Canis lupus familiaris: one gene and its partner. Each later gene encodes a partner of the first gene's protein in a complex. Links are inferred from orthologs where the notes say so. Each region holds a gene or a part of one and is shown on either strand. Other genes may lie near its edges. The genes, in order: DNM1L and mitochondrial dynamics protein MID49-like.

Region 1 (12,936 bases):
AAGTTATGGACCTAGAAAAAAACAAAATTAGACTGTATACAAAAATACAGCGACCTAACTACTTTAGGAAACAAAACTTAGTAAACAGTTTTTAAAAAGACAGTATGGGAAACTGATGCCTAAATTAATAGTCAATAATTATACTCCCAACTGATACATGTTATGCCATATAATTTGCTCTATCTTTTGAATAATTTACATCTCAGCATCTAAGAATGCATTTCCCCCTTTAGAGGGAGGGGAGGAAGTGACCTTAAGGTAGTTAGAAGTACTTTGCTAGAGGAAAAAAAAATTCCCTGATGCAAACCTAAAGTTCCAAGACTTTACATAATTTTGCTACTAAACTCAGGTTCAGGGGCACCCGGGCAGCTCAGTGGTTGAGCATCTGCCTTTGGCTCTGGTCATGATCCTGGGGTCCTGGGTTCCAGTCCCACATCGGGCTCCCTTCAGGGGGGACCCTGCTTCTCCCTCTGCCTCTGTCTCTGCCTCTCTGTATCTCTCATGAATAAATAAAATCTTTTAAAAATAATAAAACCTCAGATGACCTGCTAATCCATTTCAAAGTTTCAGTTCAGTTTCAATAAGAAAACATTTCATAATCAGATATAAAAGCTGTTAACTTTGAGTAAAGGATACATTGAAAGACCTGAGATAATGACTGATTAGCCTTAGACACACAGTTTAAATATTGTATGTGGTCTGAAATCCTAATAACAATAATCAAAACAGGATAATAATCAAAAAGGAAAGTTGAAATTAATTTCCCCAGCATTGCAGAGAGATTAACTCCTTCAGCTGTCTGCCTTAACAAATTGGGTATTAGATGAGTACTAAAACATCAAGAACCAAGGTGAAAAGCATCTATTCAAATAAAATTCCAATGATTCTGTGCTGTCACTGGGTAGACACTGAGATCAGGCTAACCATATCCTGCTCCTCTCAGTCTGGGGGTTCCACTCGCTAGGGAAACCGCCAAACAGCAGCGCTCACATTCTGTACTTCCAGGGATGGTTTTGTACTCTTTGTAAACCTCCATGGGGACTCGCCACCATCCTGAGCCAAGGATCCAAATGCACTTCTAATGACCAGAAAGGGAAACAAAACACCCAGCCAACACATAGAGACATAAGGCGATTTCAAATGCTTATCCCCTATTTTTGCCAATTTCAGCATTTTTAAGGATAGCAGTAACCCAGAAAAGAGCAGCAAGCAACCATGATATTACAGTGTTGCATCATCAAACAAGCAAACTACAAGTGGCCAAATTACCCTGATGTACTAGAGCTAAAATAGTTTGCCATATAAAAGCTCAGTTTACCGGGCCTGATTATTAAACTAATTTTCCATTAGATCAGTGGTGCTATATAGTATAGCAAAGCTAATCACAATCGTCAACACTTAACTCCATTCTTATGAAAACCTAGAGCTGTAGGCTAACAGTGATTAAAATATGAAGAAAACTATACTTCATGCCAGAATTACTTGTGTCCTTTGAAATAAGAGTGAAGTTTACTTCTTTTTCTTCCCAATACACTGGAAAACATGGCTTAAACTCTAAAGTACTCCTATTGCTATACAAAAAAATTTCTTTAGTGGTTACCATGATGATTTGTGAAAATAGCAGCTCACCATTTCATTTGTAACAGGTAACCGCTTACGAAGAAGACAAGTCACTACTTCAACTATGGCATCATGAAGTTTAGGAAACCGCAACAATTCCTATAAATGATAGAAGAAAGAAAAATTTAACGGTCTACTTTGTTTAAAGGAAAATTAAATAATCACCAAAATACTGAATTAGATTTTAAGCAACATATAGCATTACACTTCAAATCACTTTCAGATACAGAAAAATGCAGATTTTTAACTTATTTTTAGCCCATCTTACATACTTCCTCCCAATCCACAAAACCACCACTTCCCGTCTTTTACTACTTAATCTGACACGTTACATTTCTCAGTTACCTGTGTACTATAATTACTACAGTGCTGAATAATCCTTTGCATTTCCTCATGAACCAGTTCCACACAACGCAGGCTGGGTTCTTCCAGACGTTTGATTTGCCGCTTGACCAATAGCTCAAATGAAACTTCAGGCACAAACAAAGCAGGACGAGGACCCTAAAAAAATTTTTTGAGCTCTTATTATAGCTATATTAAATTTTAATTCTTCCCTAAGTTAAAATAAATCATGTTTTTTGGTATTTTTCATGAAAAGTGCTTCCTGATATTAAGTATGAGGGCAAAAATACAATTCCTTTAAAGATATAGCTAATGGGTTAAAAATTATAATAAATCCTTAACTTTTTAAAAAATTTCTAAAAGTTGAGCATACTCACAGTAGCATTTCTAATGGCAGTCAAAATGTCAATGGTGTTAAGGCCACCTAGTGGGTCAACAGATTCTAAAGTTCGCCCAAAAGTCTCATGGAAAATATAACATATCCTAGCACCACCGCATCTGAAAGGCAATGAAGTATATGGTTTCTATTATTATTAAAAGGGAAAGAAGCTACAAGTCAGAAGCCTTTCTATAAGCTTTTAAGGTCTTATTGTCTGATAAAGTCTCAGATAAGCAATTACTTTTAGATCATTTCCATGTGTTCTCAACTCCATTATGAACCAGTTTCTGTAATTTTTTTCTTTTAATGAAGAAGAGTCATTCCACAAAAGGCATCCATCACATGTATGTATTTGTTTGCATGCACACAGACACACATACAGAATAATGGTCTGTCCAAAAACATTAGGTAACTAAGAACTATTAAACATCTTTTCTCTGCCCTTAGTTTCCTTGACTATGAGCTTTTTAAAAGACAAGAAATGATATCTTGTTTATTTCTGTTTATTCACAATTTAGAGAAAAGATAGGCAAACTTTTCCTGTAAAGGGCCAGATAGTAAATAGTTTAGGCTTTTCAGGCCATATGGTCCCTGCCACGACAACTCCATTCAACTACTGAGCACAAAAGCAGCTATAGACAAAAATACAAACAAATAAGCGTAGCTGTGTTCCAGTAAAACTTATGCACACTAAAATTTGGATCTTAACATGTCATGAAATATTCTTTGAATATTTTTCAACCATTTAAAAATGTAAAAATCCTTCTTGGCCGATGGGCTACAGTTTTCTTCTGCCTTAAACAAATTAAATCTCTACTATCCACTACTTTCTTACCGTTGTCTAAGCAGAAGGTACCAACCTACATTATGTTAAGTGAAATAAGCCAGACACAAAAGACAAAGATTATATGATTCCCCTCATATAAAATATCTAGAATTAGCAAATTCATAGAGACAGAAAGTAAATTAGAGGTTACCAGAGACTGGAGGAGGAGGGAACAAAGAAATACAGAGTTTCTGTTGGGGTGATGAAAATTTTAGAAATAGACACCATCTGATGCTTAGACAATATTGTGACTGTAACCAAATGCTATTAAACCACACTTAAAAATGGTTAAATTATCCATTTGCCTCCAACCGATCCTTTCTCCAAATAATTTTCCATAATAATTAAAATTATCCTTCTAAAATGGGTACTCCTCTGACTGAAAGTGTTTTATTTTCTATGGCAGGAAGTTCTCTAAATTCTGAAGATACCTGACTTTCCACAATCTTGTTCTCAGATGCCTTTGCTGCCTAACTGCCTGCTATGTCCTGCCACCGTACATGCCATTCCCCAAATACACCTTTTGCATTATTCTTTGCTGTCCCAAAGCCTAAAACACTCTTCTACTTATTGCTTCCCTATATCCTATTCAGAGCCCAACCTGAACACATTCTTAACTATGGCACTTACCCAGTCTCTCAGAGAAATGTAAATGATCTCTCCTCAATGTTTTAAGGCTTAAATGATTACACAGATATCTGCTTTATTAACTACTTATAAAATTCCCCATATAAAAAAAATTCCCCATATATAAGCACTTTTCCAGATATGCAGTATATTAAATAAGTATTTAAATAAAAATACTTGATTATACACCTGTTTGCCACTGAATCATGCCTTGTGTTATCTTATTCTACCTTACCCACTAAGTGCTTCAAAGGCTCATCTTAGTAATCTGTATTTCCCCTCAATATGCCATATGTTTATATATATAATATATATAATATTATATATTAATATTATATATATTATAATATGACTAACCATTCACCAATTAATTAGTAATTAGTTAAATACTGTCTTTACAGAATTAACTCACATAACAGGCCACCTGTGTCACACAAAAGTACACAGAATACACATACCAATGTGTGTATAATTTCACAAGTGGTAAAATCTGAATAAGCTCTGTGGGCTGTACCCTTGGTCCATTTTCTCATTTTGTTTCTGTACTACAGTTATGCAAGATGTCAACACTAGGGAAGATGGGGTGAAAGATTAACAGGACCTAGGAAGGCATATTTATTCGCAACTTCCTGAAAGTCTATAATTATTTCAAAATTAAAAATTTTTTTTTAAGTGAGAGTTCAGATAAATGAACATTCTTACATATTGCTAACAGTAAAACAATATAATCCACTAACAGTATGGCAACAGGAAGGGATTTTTAGGATGTTCTCCCTTTGATATAGTAATTCCATCCTAAGAATTTAGCCTAAGGGTTTACTCAGATTCATGCCCCCAAAATAGTCGATCAAAACACTGTTTATATTTAAATGAAACTATCAGTAGTAGGGTACTGGTTCAAGACATTAGGGTGTATCTAAAAAGCAAAATACTATGTAAATTTTAAGACTGGTAATAGAAATGTACAATTAATATTAGTTGTTTGTGACACAATGATTTAAAGGAATGATTCCAAAACAGCATGATAGTGTTTTGATCTGATTTTTGAAGATGTGTAATACAGGCATTTATAATATTTTATCATTGCATTGAAAAACGTCTAAGTTCGTGCCAAAATTAGCAGGGATTATTTCTGGATAGTGGAATTAAGTCATTTTGTCCTTCTGTTCTTTTTGTCTGCATTTTCTTTTTTTTTCCCCATGAAAAATCAGTGTGTCTATTAAAGAGACAAATATTTAAAAAGTTAAATTATCAAAAAAAAAAAAAAAAGTTAAATTATCAATTATATTTAAATGCTTATCAAAGTCTTGTCTAAAAAAAAAAACAAATTTACTGTGCTTTACCTAGTTTACAAAGCATTTTAACACATATGTCAGACAGCATCCTATTATTTCTGCAAAACACTATTCTGCAAATAACAAATCATGATCAGAAAATCTCAGAGTTAAAGTCACTGTTACAAAAGCAAAAGTAACCCAGCATTTCAGATAAGCAAACCCATAGAGAAATGTTTTACTTACAGCTCTGAAGTTTCAATATATTTTGCAGTTCCTTCAATAGTGTTACAATATTCTGTGGCGAATTTGGTGATAAGCTGGAGCAGAGTAGCACTTTTATCGTCGACCGGCTCACCATAGCTATTGAGGAGAGACTGATACTGGGCAGCTAGAACATTTATCCTGGTTTTCAGCTCTGGTAAGCAATCTCTGATGTGATGCATCAGTAACCTAACAAAGGTCAGAAAGAAAGGATTCTTACAGTAAAGCTGTGTATTCTGAAGACCCAAACAGGTCAAATTTTTAATGTGCCAATAATGGTAAAAGCTGTCAAATAATTTGTCCTGGCAGGAAATAAAGCAATATTAGGCTGGAAGTAAATGCTTAGTGTGAAAAAAAGACACGATGATACTTGAGCCCACACTTTTTACATTTTTCAGACTAAGTAATCATTTTCACTGTGCTGAGTATCCACAGTAAAACAGAAGTCAGAAATCAAAATTATGTAGATAGAATTATACTGAGTAGCTTACTTTCTATGAGGTAATTGTAATTAATATAAAAATAATTTTTTCAATTTATATCTGGCTCTCTAGCAATCGCTACAATTTGATGGGTTGAACACGAACAAAGAACTTAGTCAACACTTTTTAAATTTGCCTTCAACCCCAACTTATTAAGATCCAAGTCCATGAGCCTTTATTTAAGGAATACGACAAAAGTAAGAGAAAACAACTTTCATTTCAGTCATTTACAAATCATCTAGAAAGCTTTTCCAGTCCCTCTACCATCAGTGGGTATTAAGGATTCAAGGTATATACTTTAAATTCTTTTTATGGATAAGAACAGAAGACATCCGAAAATAACAATTGGTTATGTAAAAAATAGGCATTTTAATTTAGTTCCTGAAACCCCAAGGGGAAATTAGTCATCTGCTATTTAGTTCTATTATCAAAAGAGTAGACTGTCAAGAACTTCATAATTAAGACATTTTAAAATTCCCTTGAGCACTCCTAGACTACATAATTTAATGCCAGTCACCTGAACAGAAAGACATCTATCTACATTACAAGAACCTACTGTACAAGAAACAAAACATGAAACTGTACACACAAAAATGTTATGAAAAGGAACTAAAAATGAGAGCTCACAGACACCTATTGCCAAACCAAAAGACCATATTTTCCAAGAGTAAAAACGTTACCTGTTTAAAGTCCTAGCAAGATACTTTGTTCCATTTCTGTTAGCCAGAGATGGGTATTTCTTTTGAAGGAAAGCATATTCATCACGGATTGAATCAGTTACACTCTTCTTATTGTTAATGTCTAGTTGGCTCCTAAGGTTGAAAAATAACAAACTGTTTAACTAAAGTCAATTGTGGTCCTCTACATACCTTAGATGATGATGGTAGTAGCACCAGACATTGCTTGTAATGCCTGATATGGATTGTGTTATCTAATTTTTGCAGTAATTCTTGCAGTAGGTATTATCCCATTTTACAGCACAGGAATTGATGCCCAGGGACATTAACCTACACAAGATCACATGTTAAATACTTCCACCGAGATTCAACCTGTGACTTGTAAGTAATACCTGAATAGTTTAGGCCTCACTGTTACCATTAACTACTGCCAAAAGCAGCAGTCTGAAGTAACAGGGTAGACAAGTGAAAAAAAAGTATAAATATGATAACCAGTAGTATATTTTATCCATATACAGGTATCTAATTTCTATCAAAAATAATTAACTTCAAGAGCAGTCATTTATAGATGCAAGTCTTACGCCATGAAATGGGAGGGGGCAGATTAAAAAAAAAAAAAAAGCCAAACTATGGATAAGATAGGACATACAAAGCAGACAACTTAATTGTAATGGACCCTGGGTATCACTTTAGTAAAAACAGTTTCATTTTAAAAGGCCTGAGATTTAAAGATGTTAGCTGGCATTTAAATCCACATTAAAGGGGTATCTGGGTAGCTCAGTTGGTTAAGTGTCTGTCTGACTTTGGCTCAGACTCATGATCTCAGTCTCCCTCTTCCTCTTTCAAACAAATAAATAAATCTTTAAAAAATTTAAATCCACATTACATATCTAGTTTATGGACAAAGCAGGAGTAGAACCCAGATCTCATGTTCATTTCAATGCTTCCTACTTTATAAAGGCTTTGGACTAAAGATCTTCATTTGAAATCTTTCACATGTGCGTTTGGTGGATGTATAGCTTGAGTCTTCTGATTATAAAATAAACATCATCCCCTACCCTCACAAAGATGTTATAAGGATTCAAAGAGCTACCATTTGGAAACTGCTAACAGAAGAGGATCTAAAATATAATTAGACACTCAACAGGAGTTTCTTTTCTATAATTTTTAATACCAGCTATTTATGATTAGGATACCTTTAATAAAATTTCTCCAAGTCATTCTGGTAATTAAAAAGGATCACTAATACGAGAGGTGTTAAACCAGTTTATTAAAATCCTACCACCTTATTACAGACTCTGTCTCGAATGTGTACAAACTAAATAATACTTTTTTTTTTCTCTTCCAGTGCACTCCTCATATATAACATAATAGGCAGAAATTTTTCAAGCCTGGCTATTAAATTTTCTTCCATTTTATGGACTGCTTACTTTAAAAACACTTTCCATTACAAATACCCATAGGAGGCTTTCGTGAATCTCTCTCCTCTCTTCAGAGTAATAAATTCCTAGCAATACCAAGATTATATAAAAGGGAAAAAGAGGGATAATATCACATTTTAAACTGCTTTTTAAAATTCAGATTTGCGGGCGCCTGGGTGACTCAGTCGGTTAAGCATCTGCCTTCGGTTCAGGTCATGATCCCAGGGTCCCTGTTCAATGGAAAGCCTGCTTCTCTCTCTTCCTCTGCCTGCCACTCCCCCTGCTTGTGCTCTTTCTCTGTGTCAAATAAATAAATAAACTCTTTTAAAAAAATAAAAATAAAATTCAGATTTCCTTTGAAATGGGAATGCTGCAATTCTTATCCCATTCTTGATTGCTAACCTGTTAACTACTCCAATTATTCCAAGTTTGACTGGTATAACCCTTCCCATCAATACATCCATGGCATCAGTACCCGCATCCATGAGGTCAAGTTTAGTGATTACAGCTAAGGTTCTGCGACCTGGTAAATGCAAAAAACAAAAAACAAAAGAAGAAAATGATCCATTAAATAAAGCTATTAGGTATTAATAAGGAAAAATCCTCATCTATTAATCCCTCCTTAACATTATCTCTGTCATTTTAGTAATGCTTTTCTGACCTTTGCTTACAAATACTTTTTAAAAACTAATTATAGGGGTACCTGGGTGCTCCTGTATGAAGCAAAGCTACATTTATTAGCAGCAATAATAACTAATCCCTGCAAGCTGCCATTTTATATAAAGAAATGCACACCACAGCATTAGTCAAATATCATACACTGACCCACAGTATGAACTAAAATAGGACTTACAAACATAATCCTTAAAGTTATAAATGCTTCTTAAAAGGATTTTACCTTTATTTCTAAGAATTTCCTCTGCCCTGTCTAAATGTTTTCTACCTCTGCAGAATGTAGGTAACACAATCATCACAATGATTATGAGAGTTAATAATTCTTAGAAGTCAACCATTTGGGATCCCTGGGTGGCGCAGCGGTTTGGCGCCTGCCTTTGGCCCAGGGCACAATCCTGGAGACCCGGGATCGAATCCCACATCAGGCTCCCAGTGCATGGAGCCTGCTTCTCCCTCTGTCTGTGTCTCTGCCTCTCTCTCTCTCTCTGTGACTATCATAAATAAAAAAAAAAAAAAAAAAAAAAAAAAAAAAAAAAATTAGAAGTCAACCATTTAAAAATCTAAATCATTTTATTTATACAAAACAAGTCCTCTTTACAAAACCATCTTATAATTTTAAAATCATTAGGCAACCATTACAAATATGGATATTATGTCAAGTGCTTTTGCCTTGTCTATATAGCAACTAACCCATTAAAGTTTAATTTCCATCAGAATTTCTATTTGTAATTATAAGCAAAATAGGAACGCATTATTTTTTAAATCTTTATTTATAGCTAGAGAAATTACTTTTAAAAATTAATACTCCTTTCTTGAGGGTAGATTTACCACTGTTAATCAAGGATCTCATTAAATATTAATATCTGTCCTTACCATCTGGATCTACCTCTCTTGAAATCTTAAGTGCCTCTGATGTTGCCATATCTGTATTAGCAGCAGTGACAGCAAGGATGATGGAATTTGGATTACTGATGAACCGAAGAATGAGCTCTCTGATCTGAAGCTCGATATCCTTAGGTTGATCACCTACAGGCACCTGAACCGAACAGATGAGCAAGGAACTAATAATAAAAATCAACTCAGCTTCCCCCCCGCCAATTTAATCTACAGAATATAGGTATTACTCCATTCACAGATAGTTAAAATGAAGAACGTATATAGTACTAGCATTATATATGAATTTGGTAGTATTAAAGTCTCAAAACATATTTCTTGCAAATATCAAAAGTTTACGTGTAAAGGATTGGTCAATGCCCAGAAGCAAATCCATTCGTTCATTCAATTAGCAAGTATTTATTGGCAACCTACTATAATTCAGGCACTGTTATACATCAGATGTCACAGTAGTGATTTAAAAAAAAAAAAAAAAAAAAGACCAAGATTCCTGTCTTCATTAAGTTTATATTTTAGTGATGAGAAGTAGCTAATAAGCAAATACATATATATAGTATCTAGGTGGTGGCAGAGCTATGGAAAACATTAGCAGAACAAGGAGCTAGGGAGTGATCAGATAAGGTTATACTTTTAAATAATTACTTTAGGATTATGCTTTTAAAAAGAGAAATGAGGGAAAAAGTCACTCAGATAATGACATTTAAGAGAATGAGCAGAAACTAAAGGAGATAAGGGAGAAGTACATGCAGATATCTGAGGGAAGAATATTCCAGCACAATGAATAGTAAGGGCAGAAAACTCGAACAGAAAGAGTTAGAATAACAGGGATATTTTAAATCACTTTTAAGAACTTAAGCTTTTATTGTGAATGAAATGAAAACCCACTGGAGGGATCCCTGGGTGGCGCAGTGGTTTAGCGCCTGCCTTTGGCCCAGGGCGCGATCCTGGAGACCCAGGATCGAATCCCACGTCAGGCTCCCGGTGCATGGAGCCTGCTTCTCCCTCTGCCTGTGTCTCTGCCTCTCTCTCTCTCTCTCTGTGACTATCATAAATAAATAAAAATTAAAAAAAAAAAAAAAAAAGAAAACCCACTGGAGATTTTGAGCCAAGGAATGACATAATCTAATTTCCACCTTAATAGCATCATTCTGGCTGCTTAAGAATAAAATTATGAGGAAGACCTATTAGGAGGGCTATTGTAGTAATCCAGCTGATAGGATAGTGGCTAGATCAGGACGGTAGCTACAAATTTGTAAGATAAAATGGAGTTCTGGATAGATTTTAAATGTAAGGAAAACCAAAAGGAGGGGATCCCTGGGTGGCTCAGTGGTTCAGCGCCTTCCTTTCGCCCAGGGTGTGATCCTGGAGTCCGGGGATCGAGTCCCACATCGGGCTCCCTGCACGGAGCCTGCTTCTCCCTTTGCCTATGTCTCTGCCTCTCTCTCTATGTCTATCATGAAAAAATAAATAAAAATATTAAGAAAAAAAAGAAAAGAAAACCAAAAGGATCTTCTGAGAAAGTAGGGTGTGGAATAAAACGTGTCATGTCAAGGATGACTACAAACTTTTTGGCCTAAGAAAGAAGAAAGTTGCCATTTATTGAGGTGGTGGAGACTACAGAAGTATTAAGTAAGATTGAGGGAATAGGTAAGAAATTTAGCATGAGACACATAAAGTTTGCCTATTAGACACTTCAGTGTACGTGCCAAATAGAGAGTTGGGATATACAAGTCTGGAGATGTTTAAATGCTGTCAGCATACAGACATTCATATATTTAAAGCCATAGTTTGGATGAAATCAATGGTGTGGCGGGGAGGGTAGCGTACCCAACTGACAAGAGGTCTAAAAATAGCTCTGGGCACTCACTGTGGAAACACTGGGAAGATAAGAAACCAGCAAAAGAGACAGAGAAGGAGTGGCCAGTAAGACTGGAGAGAAACCTGCAGAGTATGGTATCCTGGAAACCAAGTAAAGAAAATATTTCAATGAGAAGGGAGGGCTGGACTATATTCAATGCTGCTAATAGATCAACTGGGGGGGGGGGGGGGGAAGCTGATTATTCTCATAAGGTCAAGCAAAAACGACCACAATTGAAAACAAATATGACCAAATCCACAATGAGTAACAACTAATCTTTACCTTGGTCATTCCTGGCAAATCCACAAGTGTCAGATTGACAACATTGGGTGAAAAAATCTTAAGATGAATTGGCTCAGGGCTTACTCCCTAAAAATAAGTTTTAAAATATATTAAAATCACATTAAAATTTCAGTGAAATATAAATTGCTAAAGTATACCTCACTTCAAGCAGATAGACATTAGATGCTTTTAAGTATGAATTAAACTATGAACACTTAAACAATCAAAACCTGAGGAAACACATCAAGTAAGGCAGCCAGCCAATATAGCAGGTGATAATCTTATCCAATTCTGTAACATCGATATACAAAAATTTATTTCCCCTGCATTATTTTACATTCTTGTCTCTTGATTCTGAACAGATACAACTTCTTAAATATGTTTAATAGACTTAGTGCTGAACTAAAGAAAACTGTATCACTATCCAAATTTATGAGGTTGAGTAGACAGTGAGGCATGGGCAAACAAGTTATCCATTTCAACTTGGTTCCTAATCTTTGACTATCAAGTAGCAAGAGTGTGTATTTTAAGAGATTCTTCAGAAAATTTACCTAAATCTTCAGATCCCTGAATTCAAGTAGTAAGAATCCGGATAATGAGAGATAACCTCTATTTTCTCTCCCCTGGACTGAGATTATTTATTATACAGACTGCCTTCTCTTCACCACTAGCCCTCTAAAAATTTTGAAGCTGAGCCAGCTACAAGTTAAAGGGCACACAGAAAATATGCATAACTTGTCTTTGCACATGCCCTTAAATGTCCTTTTCTCTTACCTACTTTCTATCTTCTTTCATTAATCCATTGAAAATTCTAACTTCCCAGAAAGCTTTTTTGGAACATCCTTTACTTTGAGATATATTGGGTTACTCCAAACTACTTTTCTACCTCAAATACACCAGTGTTCAAAGTCATATGCTGATATTCAGCATACCTACCTAGGTTGTGTGCTTCTTAGGCATTCCCTTATCATGTTTAATACAAAGCTTTGCTCAACTGCTTCTATAATTCCAATCTCACAGATATTTTAAATCCTTCAGGGTCTTATGTTAGGCATATGAAATCATTTAGATATTTGTACATATAAAATTACTTACATAAGATCAAAGTATTTACTTCATTACAAATATGACTTAGGAAAGAAGAGACTTTTCACAGATTTGGGGGTAGGGGACTTCTCATCCTTTGGACACTGTGGGTAAGAAAACCTGCTAGGTAAGTATATCACATCCCCACCATAAATTAAACATCTTGTTGGTATACAGACTATCTTTCATGACATTCAGTTTAATGTAACTAAAACTTTCTGAAACACTA
Region 2 (11,686 bases), on another chromosome or scaffold:
CAGGTAAGGATGGCAGCGATGGGGGCAGAGGAGAGTGGTGTGGCCACCTGGGCACAGTGTCAGAAGTGCGTGTACAGGTGGGGAAATGCAGGAAGGGCCTTCTTGCCTCCTCCGTGAGGGCCCGGCCCCCACCCCTGCAGACGCAGCCGGACACTACCAGGATCCCCCCCCCCTCCCCTGCCCACCTGCCCCCAGGCTGCCCTTCCCCGGGCGGGGCCAGCTCTCACTTCCACTGCTGCCCCGCCTCCTTTGGTCGCCAGCACTGCCCTGCTCCTCCCTGACCCTCTAGAACCGCCTCACCTGCCCTGTGGCCCTAGTCTACCAGTCCCGCAGCTGCTCAGGCCACCGTCAGCCGAGGTGGCTGCACCTGCCCCAGAGTCCCCAGAGGGGTTACTAGGCAGCCCCCTCCACCGGATGAGAAAACCCGGGCTCCGAGAGGGGAAGTGACTTGCCCGAGACCACACAGGATGGGGTGGCGGCGGCAGGCTCGGGCCGCGATGAGTGTGCTCCAGACCCGCCCCCGACCGACAGCCGGTAGCAAGGCCGGCCCTGAGTCAGGGCCTGGCTGGGCGTGTGACCTCAGAGGGGCGGGGACGGAGGGCGCGGAGGGCGGGAGCAGCTCGCAGACCCCCAGGCCAGTCTGCGGCGCGGGCGGGGCCCGGACCCCCGGACCCCCGGACCGGGGCGCGCGGGGCCCCCAGCCCACACTCCCCGCGCCGCTGCGCGCCCGGCCCCCCCGGCCCCCGCCCGGCCCCCCCGGCCCCCCCGGCCCGGGTCTTCCCGAGCCGCAGCGGACGCGTCGGGGGGCCGTTCCGGGCGGGGCCGCGAGCTCCGGGGCAGCCCCCCTTCCCTCCCGCGGTCCCGGGCGGCGCGGGGCCGGGCGCGGGCGGGACAGGAAGCGGGGAGCGGCGCGGGCCCGGGCGGAAGACACGGCCTGGAGGGAAGCCGGCCCCGCGCCCTGACGGCCCGCTCACCTTGAAGTCGTTGCCGCTCAGGTCCACGCCGCGCACGAACGGCAGCACCCCGGTGGCCTCCATGGCGCCGCTCTCGCTGCCGGGCCTGCGGGCGCGGGGGGCGGCGGGGCGAGCCGCGGGCTGGGCCGACGCCGGCCCCGCCCCTTTAACCCGCCCCCGCCCGGCCCGGCGGCAGGCGGAGCCCCGGCCGCGGCCCCGCGCGTCACCCGGGGAACCCGGAGCGCCGGGCCTCCCCGGGCCTCCCCGGGCCTCGGCTTCCCCCGCCGTCCGCTGACCCCGGGCCCTCGGAAAAAGTCCGGGCTCCCCCTGCGCTCCCGCAGGCTTCTAACCTCCACGCTGATTTCAGCGACCTATGGCGGGGGGTGCCGCAGACCCTGCAGGCCCGGGCTCCGCCCCCGGGGCAGCCGCAGCCGCTGGAGTCCGGCCGTGACCTCTGCAGCGATTAGGGACCCAGGCCCGGGGGCGCACGGACCTAGGCCTTGGGTCCTAGGGCTCTGGGCTAACCCCAGGTCTGCTCCTGCCTCAGCTTTCTCATTTGTGAAATGCTTCCTAAGGCTGTCGCCAGAAACAAACTCAGGTGTAGGTCGCAGCATACAGCAGGCGCTCGATAAGAGGCACGTTATCATTCAGGCTCTCTTTACTTCCTTGCGCCCCCACCAGCCGGCACATAATAGGTCCCCAAGAAATAAACGCCGAGTGAGCCACAGGTTCTATGCACGGTCACCCTTCGCGGGGGGAGGGGCCTTGTGATACCCACTTCAGGGGAGAGAAGACTGAGGCCAGAACGGAGCAGTGGCCCGCACAGGGTTACACGGCGCAGGTGGCAGGGCCAGCCTCCTGGGTCACGCTGTGTGCCCCGCGCGCCAACATAAAATAATAAAGCCACACTGCGCTCTCAGAGGTGACCTCAAGGGTCAGGCAAGCGGGCCTTCGGGCCAGGTACCACCTGTTTGCCGGGCCCCGGAAACAACGCGAGCCCAGACAGTTCTGTCTACTCCGCAGCCTCCCATGCGAGCACACGCGGCTTCCCACCAGGCCCTCGGGTCCGGCTCATCCCGACCCGGGTCCCGGTCGCCACCCCGCCCTGCGCCTTTAAGCCCGAGTGCGTCCGGGAGGCCCGCCCCCGAGGGGCCGCGCTCGTCAGCGGGGGGCGTGGCCTGCTCCTCACTGGCTGAGCCGCGCAGTATTTTGGAACGTGGGCGGGGCCTCGGGCGCTCCGATTGGACCCGGGGCTTGTTCGTCTGCTTGCGTCGGAGGTCAGGGCCGCCCCCGGGGCCTCGGGGTTCGGTTCCCGGGTCCTCCGAGTTCCATTCCCAGGCGGGCCCGGGCTCAGGACCCAGGGTCGCACCCGCTGTGTCCTGCGGTCGCTGCGCCGAAGCCGCGACGCCCGTGCGACCGGAGTGCGGCTGAGCGGCCCGGGTCCCCCAGACCGGGGCGTGGAGCGTGCGTCGGACGCAGGTCGGGGGCGTGGTCTCCGCTGGGGCCCGGGTCACGGCCGGGGAAGGGGGGAAGGGCTTTGCGCCCCGGGCCGGAGTTCCAGTGTCGAGCCTGCCCCTTTACGTGTTGGGCGCCTCAGTGCACTTCTCGGGGCCTGGTGCCCTCCGCGCGGATGGGCCCCTCCCAGGCCCTCCCCGGGGTTCCTGCGCGCTCGGCCCAGCCCCGGCCCCGGGCAGCAGGTGTGGCGGAGGAGGGGAAGGGCGGGCGGCGTCTCCCGGCGTCTCCCGGCGCCTGGTGGGGGCCGGGCCGGCAGCGCGGAGTCGGGTTATTTTTAACCACCCGCGCCTTCTCGGCGTTCCGGGAGTTGGAAGGCTGCGGTTTGCGGCCTGCGCGACCCCGCCAGGGGTTGGGCTGAGTCCCGTTCAGGCAGGAGGTATTGAAAGCTTTTTACACTTTGCAAGTGGATTCTGGGCTCCGCTGGAGATGGCTTGCAGTATTGATCATCGAGGAGGAAGTAACTAAAAGCGGCCGCCGGGCCTTGGTGGGGCACTCCCCTAGCCTTTGACCAGCCCAGGCCCCAGAGCCCTCCTGTCCTATTTTTACTCTGGGCAAATCGGGGGGCGGGGGTTGGGGCTGACTCCGGTGGTGATTCAGGCTTCAGCTGCTCTAGGCATCTCGTCACCTGGCAACTGAGCCCTGGGCACCCACAGCGGATCCGAGAGGACAGAAGTCCTTGGTGCCTGGGCTGGCTGCGAACCCACGGTCATCTGGTTCAGGCATCCGCAGAGAGACAGCGCTGCCTGGTGTCTGACTGGTCCTCCGGGCCTCAGCTTGCACCCCGGCCACACGCCCCCTCTGCTCTCAGGGCCTGAGGCAGGAAATCCCCCGGAAGAACCAGAGGTTGGAGTTTGGGGGCCTAGGCCTGGGTGGGATCTCTGTCTCCACTTCCCAAGTACCCAGGCCTACCCAGCCTTATAGTTCTGGGTTCCCCACGTGTAAACCTTCACCACGCCTGTGCCATTTTACAGGTGAACAAAGCCTCATCTTCCCTTCTCTGTTGCCTCGGTTTCCAGTCTTTGACAGCTGCTCCCCCATCCCCGCTACCCCTGCATTGTCTCAAACTTGAGAGGCCCAGAGAGGCCCCTGTCCAGAGGCACTGGGCAAGTTCTCTGTTTGGGATGGGGGGTGGGGTCTTTATTTTTCACCTACTTTTTTTTTTTTTAATTTTATTTATTTATTCATGAGAGACACGACACACAGAGAGAGACAGAGACACAGGCAGAGGGAGAAGCAGGCTCCACGCAGGGAGCCCGACGTGGGACTCGATCCCGGGTCTCCAGGATCACGCCCTGGACTGAAGGCGGTGCTAAACCACTGAGCCGCCCAGGGATCCCTACCTACTTATTTTAAATATTTTATTTTTAAGTAATCTACACCGAACATAGGGCTGGGACTCACATCCCCCGAGATCAAGACTCAGACGCTCCACAGATGGAGCCAGCCAGATGTCCTGTTTGGGGTCTTTGGAGTTACCCTGCTTGCTGCCCCCACAGGCAGGCCTCAGCCTTCATTGATGTGCCTCCCTGGGCAGCCTGGGCCAGCTCACTCGTCCTGTCCTTTGACTTGATAGCTCTCCCTCCAGGGGCTACTCTATTGAGATCTGGTGGCGGGGGGACCTCTGTTGAGGTCAAAGGCCTGAGGGGCCCTGCAGGGCAGACTGCTAGGACCCCTGGCGGTGTCTTCTTTAGGCCAGAGTTCCCTCCTGCCTATGCCCAGCCCCGGTTAAGAAGCAGGACGAAGCAGCCTCTTGGAGCTGGCTGCAGGCTCCAGTAGACTGACTGGACTCTGGGGGTGGGCCAGAGTCAGGACACTTTGCAGGATGGGTCCAGGTCCCCACCACTCACTGTGTGGTTCGGCAGCCTATATCTCTCTAAAATGGGGATAGCGATGATGAGACTCACTTCACCATCTTAGGTCATGTCAGGGGTCCTTGAGGATGGGATGGAGAAGATGGGCCTCCTTTTCTCACCTGGCACAAGTCTCAGGGCCTTTCTTTTTTTTTTTAAAATTTTTTTTTAAATGTTAATTTATTTATGATAGTCACAGAGAGAGAAAGAGACACAGGCAGAGGGAGAAGCAGGCTCCATGCACCGGAAGCCCGATGTGGGATTCGATCCCGGGTCTCCAGGATCGCGCCCCGGGCCAAAGGCAGGCGCCAAACCGCTGCGCCACCCAGGGATCCCTCTCAGGGCCTTTCTACATGAGCTCCTTGTCTAGGGAGTGGGTGGGCTATTTGCAGGTTTGCAGTGTGGTAGAGGTGGGGGTTTGGGCAGCCCCATCTCCTCCCAAGAAACCGTTTCTCCTGAGAAACTCCCAGGAACTCCCTTCATCAGCTCTACTCACGACAGCCCCAGCATGATGGGGTCGGCCCCACTGCCAGCCTGGCCGCCCCCCCACAGAGCTGTCTATGTCTACATCCTCTTACAGGCAGACAGACCATGGCCGAGTTCTCCCAGAAACGGGGGAAGCAGCGTGATGAGGTCCTGGGCAGCACCGTGGACTTCCTCCTGGCCAATGCCCGCCTGGTGCTGGGCGTGGGCGGAGCCGCCGTGCTGGGAATTGCTACCCTGGCTGTGAAGCGGGTAAGGCCAGGCTGAGCCGCTCAGAGCTAGGGCTGCCCGAGGAGGACAGTGGGGCCCCAGGGGGAGGGGGTGGGGAAGTGCCCAAAGCTGGCACCTGCTTCTCTACCCCAGCAACCTGGCTGGCGTTGCCCCTGGCCTTGGCCTGGCCACACAGGCTTCGGATGCTCTGATCCATGTCACTCTGCCGGCAGCTCATTGACAGGGCCACCAGCCCTCGAGATGAGGATGACGCCAAGGGGGACACTACACGTCTGGAGGAGAGCTGGAAGGAACTGAACCTGCTCACGGCCACACCGCGTCAACAGCCCCGGCCCCCACCTGCAGCCCTCAGCCAGCCCGTGTCACCCCCTGACCCCTCGCCGGCTGCCCCAGGTGAGTGGCACCCCATCCCCTCCGACCCGGTTGGGCCCTCCTCTGGTATTACATTTGGGAGATGCAACCCAGGCTCTGCCTTTGACTGAGCCTGGGACCTAGGCAAGTCCCTGCTGCTCCTCGGGGGCCGCAGCCTCCCTGCATGTTTAAGGGTTTCTCTGCCCTCCTAACCTCCTGGGTTGTGCCCCCAGGACCTGGACTGAGAGAGCGGTACCAGAGCATGGCAGCAGTGTTGTGACGGTGAGGGGCCCCAGATGGGGAAACTGAAGCCCAGAGCCTGTCTTCTCAGCCTACACCAAGCTGTTTTAGGGCGTTGGGGATCTGGGGGCAGTGAGAATTTGTCATCACGTGCTCACCTTACGTGAGAACTTGAGCTAAGCACTCTCCCAGGTGGTCATTTTACAGCTGAACAAAATAAGGCCCAGGCTGTCACACAGCTAGTAATTGGGTGGAGGTCTCTTGGCTCCTGACGGGGCCTCCTGATGTGGTCCCAACCCCTTTGTTCTGCAGAGGGGCCCACAGACACGGGTCCTGAGATGTCACTGCAGCTTAGCTCTCCGGCGCCGCTGTGCCTGACGTTCCAGGAGAAGCTGCTGGCGTTTGAGCAGACCCACGTGACCATCCCCGCGGCCCACGTGGCCCTGGCCAAGCAGCTGGCCGGTGACATTGGCCTTGAGCTGCAGGCCTATCTGCGGAACAAGTTCCCGGAGCTGCCCTTTGGGGCACTGGTGCCCGGCGGGCCGCTCTACGACGGGCTGCAGGCGGGGGCGGCTGAGCGCGTGCATATCCTGGTCCCCCTGGTGCTGGAGGCGGGCCTGTGGAGCCTGGTGCCAGGGGCGGACACGGTGGCCAGGGACCCTCGCTGCTGGGCCGTGCGCAGGACTCAGCTGGAGTTCCGGCCCCGCGGGAGCAGCCCCTGGGACCGCTTCCTGGTGGGCGGCTACCTGTCTTCCCGCGTCCTGCTGGAGCTGCTCCGCAAAGCGCTGGCCTCCTGCGTCAACTGGCCTGCCATCGGCAGCCTGCTCGGGTGCCTGATCCGGCCCAGCGTGGCCGCTGAGGAGCTGCTGCTTGAGGTGCAGCACGAGCGCCTCGAGCTCACAGTCGCCGTGCTGCTGGTGGTCGCCGGCGCTGGTCCCGAAGATCCCGTCCTCCTGGCGTGGCCCCTGGAGGGGTTGGCTGGGAACCTCTGGCTGCAGGACTTATACCCCGCGGAGGCTGCCAGGCTGCGGGTCCTGGATGAGCGCGACGCTGGGACGCGCCGGCGGCTGCTGCGGCTGCTGTGCGGGGTCTGCCGCCGCCACCCATCCCTGTGGCGGCTGGACCGGCGCCACCTGACCCAGGTGGTTCTGCGCCTGGGGGAGCACGAGGCCGACTGGGCCGAGGCGGCCTTGGGGGCGCGCTTCCTGCAGGCCCTGGAGGCGCTCGTCGACAGCCTGGAGCGGGCCAGCCTGCCCTGCCAGCTCAACCCCGGCGTGAACCTCTTCGGGAGCCTGCGGGACGAGGAGATTGACGCCCTGGGCTTCGCGCTGTTCTGCGGCCTGCAGGCCCCCGAGTGGCTGCTCTAGCCGGGTGGGGACGGGGCGGCCGGCGCTCGTTCGGCGGCGGGTGAGCTGGGCGCGCCTCCCATCCGGGAATCTGGAGAGCACCCTGTCTCTTGCTTTAGCCAAAATAAAAAGAGGGGGCTGCCCTGTAAGCCCCCGGGTTAGCATGTACGCGGGCAGCAGTCGCGGGAGGCCCCGGGCCCAGAGAGCTCGGCTGGGCCACCTCGGGGGCAGCCTGGAGCGCCGGCCACTCCCCCGGCCCCATCTGGCCTTGGGGCGACCCTGGGACCGTGGGCTCGGTCCGTCGTCACCAGCAGTGAACGCACGGACGATCCGGCTTCTGCTCTCCTAGGCGGGGGATAAAGGCAGCTCCGTTTATCTGTCAAGAGGGTGAGTTAGCGTTTTCCTCGGGTGCCAGCTCCAGGCATCTCGAGGCTTCTGGTGCTGGGTGGTAAACACTGTGTTTGTGTCGTCCCCCAGGGGCCAGAGTCACCTGGGACCCCCCTGCGCCCCGGATTGCAGCTTTGGGGCTGATCTGAAGGCTGTGTCTCCCAAGTCATGTCACCTGCGTGTCCAGCCAGCTTGTTGAGCTCTCCCCTCTAGCCTGGAGCAGAGCTCCGTCGGACGTGCTGCCCACCTCGTACCTCAGGGGAAGGCCCCATTCTCTCCAACAGGGCAGATTTTCTGTTTGGGAGGCAGAGAGACCCCTGGAGAACCTAAGGCTCCCAGTGCCCCCCGCTTTGCCTGGAGCCAAGGATGTGCCACCGGCTACTGCTGGGCCCGGCCTCCACCGAGCCACCACGAGCGCTCCCCGCCGACACTGAGGCCCACTCGGGGATGGGATTCCGCCTCCCCTCCCGGGCATCCCTCCCATCTTTGGTGTTCTTCGTGCTGAAGCAAAGCTGTGCCACTAGGAATGTGAATAAAAGGAAAAACGAGGGTGTGTGATTTGTGCTGGGCTCTTATGCATGGCTCTTTGGAGTTCTGGAAGCTTGGCCACAGGTCTTGTGGGATCGACCAGGAAGAGTTAGGGCTTAATTGGAAAAATAGATCGTGTGGAGAGATAATATTACCAGTTTCCGGGTGTGATGCTTCACTTTAGTGATGGAAACCAGCTAGTCAGGGACTTTTTTCCCTGAAAAATCTAAGCTCTCACGGCCCAGCTGGCTCTCTGGTGGGCATGGCTGCCCCAAGCCCATCAGCCGGCACGTCAGTACCCAGAGAAATGTCATGTTTGTATCTCCTGGCCTCTTGTTGTGGCTCAAGTGGTGGACGGCCCTCCCCAGACAGGGAAGCAGGAGCATCTCAGCGTCTCCACGGGAGCCATGGCTGGGGCTCATATCCTTTGTCACCACAGATGACAAGTGGGCCCTGGGGACGGCTTTGGGCCACGAGTGCTCAGCGGTCACCACAGTTGCTTTTCCCATCCTGCTTCTCTCCTTCCCATCCCGTCGTGTTTCCTGAGGTAACCTGTGCCCTGAGCTGTGACCACAGGACCACGAGCAGCACCAATGTCCTCCCTCGTCTGAGGGCCAGCACGCAGGACACATGAGAAGCACATGTGTACTTCTGGATGCAGGACCAGGAGCTGCCCCTGGAGGTCATGAGGGCTCTGCCCCAGGGGCATTCAGATGCCTGGACGGCTCCACACACAGGCTGTGGGGAGGGTCAAAGGGCAGGAGACTGGCTGAGCCGAGGTCCATTCAGATCACTTGGCCTGGGGACTGGCGCACAGAGAGCCTTGAGCAGCTGCCCTGGTGGCCGAGTGTTGGCACCGGCCTGGGCAGACAGAGGCGGGGCCTTGGTACTTTTGGCAGTAAATTGGGGGATTATGGAATACCAACTTCTCGGCGGTTGTACGAAGTAACTGCTGGTGTGCAGTGTTAGCCCAGGGCCTGGCACGAAGCAAACCACTCTAGAACCCAACTGTGGGCCCCAGCTATCTCCCCCCGCTGACCAGCGTCACAAAGCTCTCTCTTCTACACCAACTGTAGAATAAATCTTATCATATAGAAAATGTTTCCTTTCTATAAACCCACTCGCTGGGCCCGTCTCTGCAGCACTTACCTGTGGCATAGTCCCAAGTGGGGGTACTGCTCATTCCCTAGGGCTGGCCTGTCCAGTTCTTCCAATCTTTGCTATTACAGCAATCCCCCCTGATCTGTGGTTTCGGTTCTGCGTGGTCACTGTAGACCAGAAGCATGTGATCCTCCCAATGTATCGTGTCCACAGCAGCCTCATGGTGGGTCACAACGCCCACGTCATTCACCTGACCTCATCCCGCAGCCATTGTACCGCCTCACAGCCCCACAAGAAGGGGGGGGGGGTACAGGACAATACGGTGGTTTGAGAGGAAGAGACCACATTCACGTTAGTTTTATTACAATATATTGTTATAATTCTATTATTATTTATTGTGAATTTCTTACTGTACCTAATTTCTAAACTTTCTCCTATGTATGTAGGTACAGCAAAAGACAGTAAAACAGTGTATATAGCGTTTGGTACTATCTGTCGTTTTTGGCATCCACTGGGGGTCTTGGGACATATCCCCCCAAAGATAACCAGAGGGACAACTGTATTTAAACTGACAGGCCCTGAAGAAAGTCTCTGTGCACATAAGCCATAGCATAGGACATTCCTGGGAGTGGAAACCATTCAGTATTCAGACCCAGAAAGATCCTGCCAAACTGCATTCTGGAAGGACTTTGGTCACCAGCCCAGAGCCCCAGGCTGAGCCTGGCAGGCGGGCAGGAAGGGGTGAGCAGGTGCCCCTGGGAGGCGGGACCCGGGGAGCACGTCCACATCCACCCTGGCCCCACTGCCCCAGGGCTGCGGACTCCTGACCTCCTCTCCGCAGACTTTATGGCTGGGGGTGGATGATGGAAATTGCCCACTCCGAGCTGTGCCTGCCGTCTGTGGCTCGCCACACATACCTGGAGTGCACTGCGGGAAAACTCACTTTGGTGTCAGCTGAGCCACCTGGTTGCTTCAGGGGCCAGAATCTGCCTTCAAAAGCAAGTGGCTCTGGTGTCTGAGGTGTGCAAGGAAAGCACTTCCTGGGTGTTGGGAGCAAAGGCCCTTCCCCTTCAGATGGCGATTTAGCCTGCCGTTCATGTGGGTCGCAGGCCCCAGAAGGTGCTGGGCCTGGGGCAGGGGCGGGGGTTGCAACGGACCCCCCGGCAGCCTGTAGTCCCAGGCCTCTGCTCCAACTCTGTCCTGTTCCCCCTAGAATGAGGGCCTTTGCAAAAGGACACTTCTGTAATTAGAAAAATAAAGATATTAAAAAAGAAACCCCAGCAACATTACAATTTGGTTGTGCTCAATTCACTGAAGCTAAGGCTGCAGTGGACAAAGCCCAGAGTGTATTCCAAACAACGGGAATGGCTCCGGGGATGCTGTTTTGGTCCTTTCCGCATGGCTCCCGATTTCCTGAGACAATAGTTCATTTGGCCGGGCCTTCAGGCTGGTGGGAAGGCCAGACTCTCAGGCTTGTTGGACTCTGACCTCTTAGCCTGGAGCACCACTTCTGAGCAAGTCAGGCAGTCTCAGGCAGGGATGGGGCGCAGGCCTTGGTCCCTTGGAGGAACAGCCAAGGGTGAAGGGTGGCACCACCTGGCGTGCTAGGTGCACCTGTGCCACCCTTGTGTTCTAGTCCAGGGAACTTGGACATTATGATCCTGGAGTCTGAACAGCTGACGTTTTAGGTTGCGGCAGGCCATGGAAGGAAGGACGGCTGTGAGTTTATCACAAAGGGCAGCAGGGTTCTCCTCCCATTGGCCCAAGAGCCAGTGCCCGATGTGGTGTCGTGCTGCCGCGCACACGGGGCCTGGCCCTCGTTGAGTGGTGGGGGTGGGAGGCTGGGATTGGGGCTTATTTGTAGTTTCCAGCTGCTCCAGGTGCAGTAAGCATCAGGGACAGCTTCTCTCCAACGCTGTGTGGGGCGGCCCCCCTCTTGTAGTCTTTCAGACTGGGGCAGGCAGGGGTGCGGGGCATCCCTCCCATCTTCTTGGAGGGATGGCAGGTGGCTCCGTCCCTGCCAGTGGGCTCTCACCTCAGCGTGGAGAAAGATGTGGATGCTCTCAGAGCTTCAAGGTGTAGGCACAGTGGCAGACCAATCCCTGCTTGGCTGTTTATGGGGCAAAGCGCTTCTCCATGAGGCTCGAGCTCCACCCACAGACGGAGGCAGGGAGGCAGATGAGAAATGTGGTGTGTGACCCGCTTGGCCTCGCGCTCAGTAAGCTGGGGTTGTTCTCACTTGGGTCCTGGATGGCACAAGCTGCAGATGGGGGTCCAGTACTGGGGTTCACACCTTTCTAGTCACAGGTGGGGAAAGCTCAACTTCTCCTCGCCTGAACGCTGCTAGGCTGAGGCCATCAAGAGACCTGGAAAAACCCGACAGGTTCTGCTCATGAACTTCCCACTGCAGTCAGGCCTCGCTGTAACCTTCCACCAAGGAGCTTCCAGGTGAGGAACACCGCCCAGTTACAAAAGGGGCCACTCAGGCTCAGGGTTAAGGTGCGAGCCCAGGGAGGCATGCAGGCGGGGTGAGTCAGGACCTGGGGCAGGTCTGACCTTGGTAGTCCACCCCAGCGGTTTTTGGTCTTGCACATGTAGGAGTTACTTGTGGAAAGATTAAAATACACAAATCTGCCTGAAATTCAGAATCTATTAATAACTCCTATAATTCAATAACAAAACCCAAATGAAAATTGGGCAA

The links.
Region 2: the proteins of DNM1L (region 1) and mitochondrial dynamics protein MID49-like are in contact, whole or in part, in a cryo-EM structure (PDB 5WP9), measured with the Homo sapiens proteins. The link is inferred for Canis lupus familiaris from reciprocal best matches to the Homo sapiens genes DNM1L and MIEF2. Residues at the interface, in NP_036192.2 of Homo sapiens: Asp190, Met191, Ala192, Thr193, Ser194, Leu197, Lys198, Ile199, Arg201, Glu202, Gly223, Thr224, Asp225, Asp228, Arg233, Val234; in NP_631901.2 of Homo sapiens: Val213, Asp214, Thr215, Val216, Arg218, Arg226, Leu230, Arg235, Val245, Gly246, Tyr248.

The regions. Positions count from the first base shown.
Region 1 is NC_049248.1:30,391,434-30,404,369, reverse strand, and holds part of DNM1L (dynamin-1-like protein), read right to left. Parts: intron 11,709-12,936; coding exon 11,622-11,708; intron 9,624-11,621; coding exon 9,461-9,623; intron 8,436-9,460; coding exon 8,315-8,435; intron 6,627-8,314; coding exon 6,495-6,626; intron 5,522-6,494; coding exon 5,315-5,521; intron 2,461-5,314; coding exon 2,340-2,460; intron 2,122-2,339; coding exon 1,966-2,121; intron 1,720-1,965; coding exon 1,630-1,719; intron 12-1,629; coding exon 1-11. UniProt on the Homo sapiens protein: Functions in mitochondrial and peroxisomal division.
Region 2 is NC_049226.1:41,505,045-41,516,730, reverse strand, and holds mitochondrial dynamics protein MID49-like, read left to right. Parts: upstream 1-2,462; 5' UTR 2,463-2,583; coding exon 2,584-2,650; intron 2,651-2,664; exon of another isoform or gene 2,665-2,844; intron 2,845-2,850; exon of another isoform or gene 2,851-3,439; intron 3,440-4,898; coding exon 4,899-5,053; intron 5,054-5,244; coding exon 5,245-5,425; intron 5,426-5,935; coding exon 5,936-6,990; 3' UTR 6,991-7,030; exon of another isoform or gene 7,031-7,446; 3' UTR 7,447-9,463; downstream 9,464-11,686. Other genes in the region: FLII (protein flightless-1 homolog), read right to left, coding at 975-1,037. UniProt on the Homo sapiens protein: Mitochondrial outer membrane protein involved in the regulation of mitochondrial organization.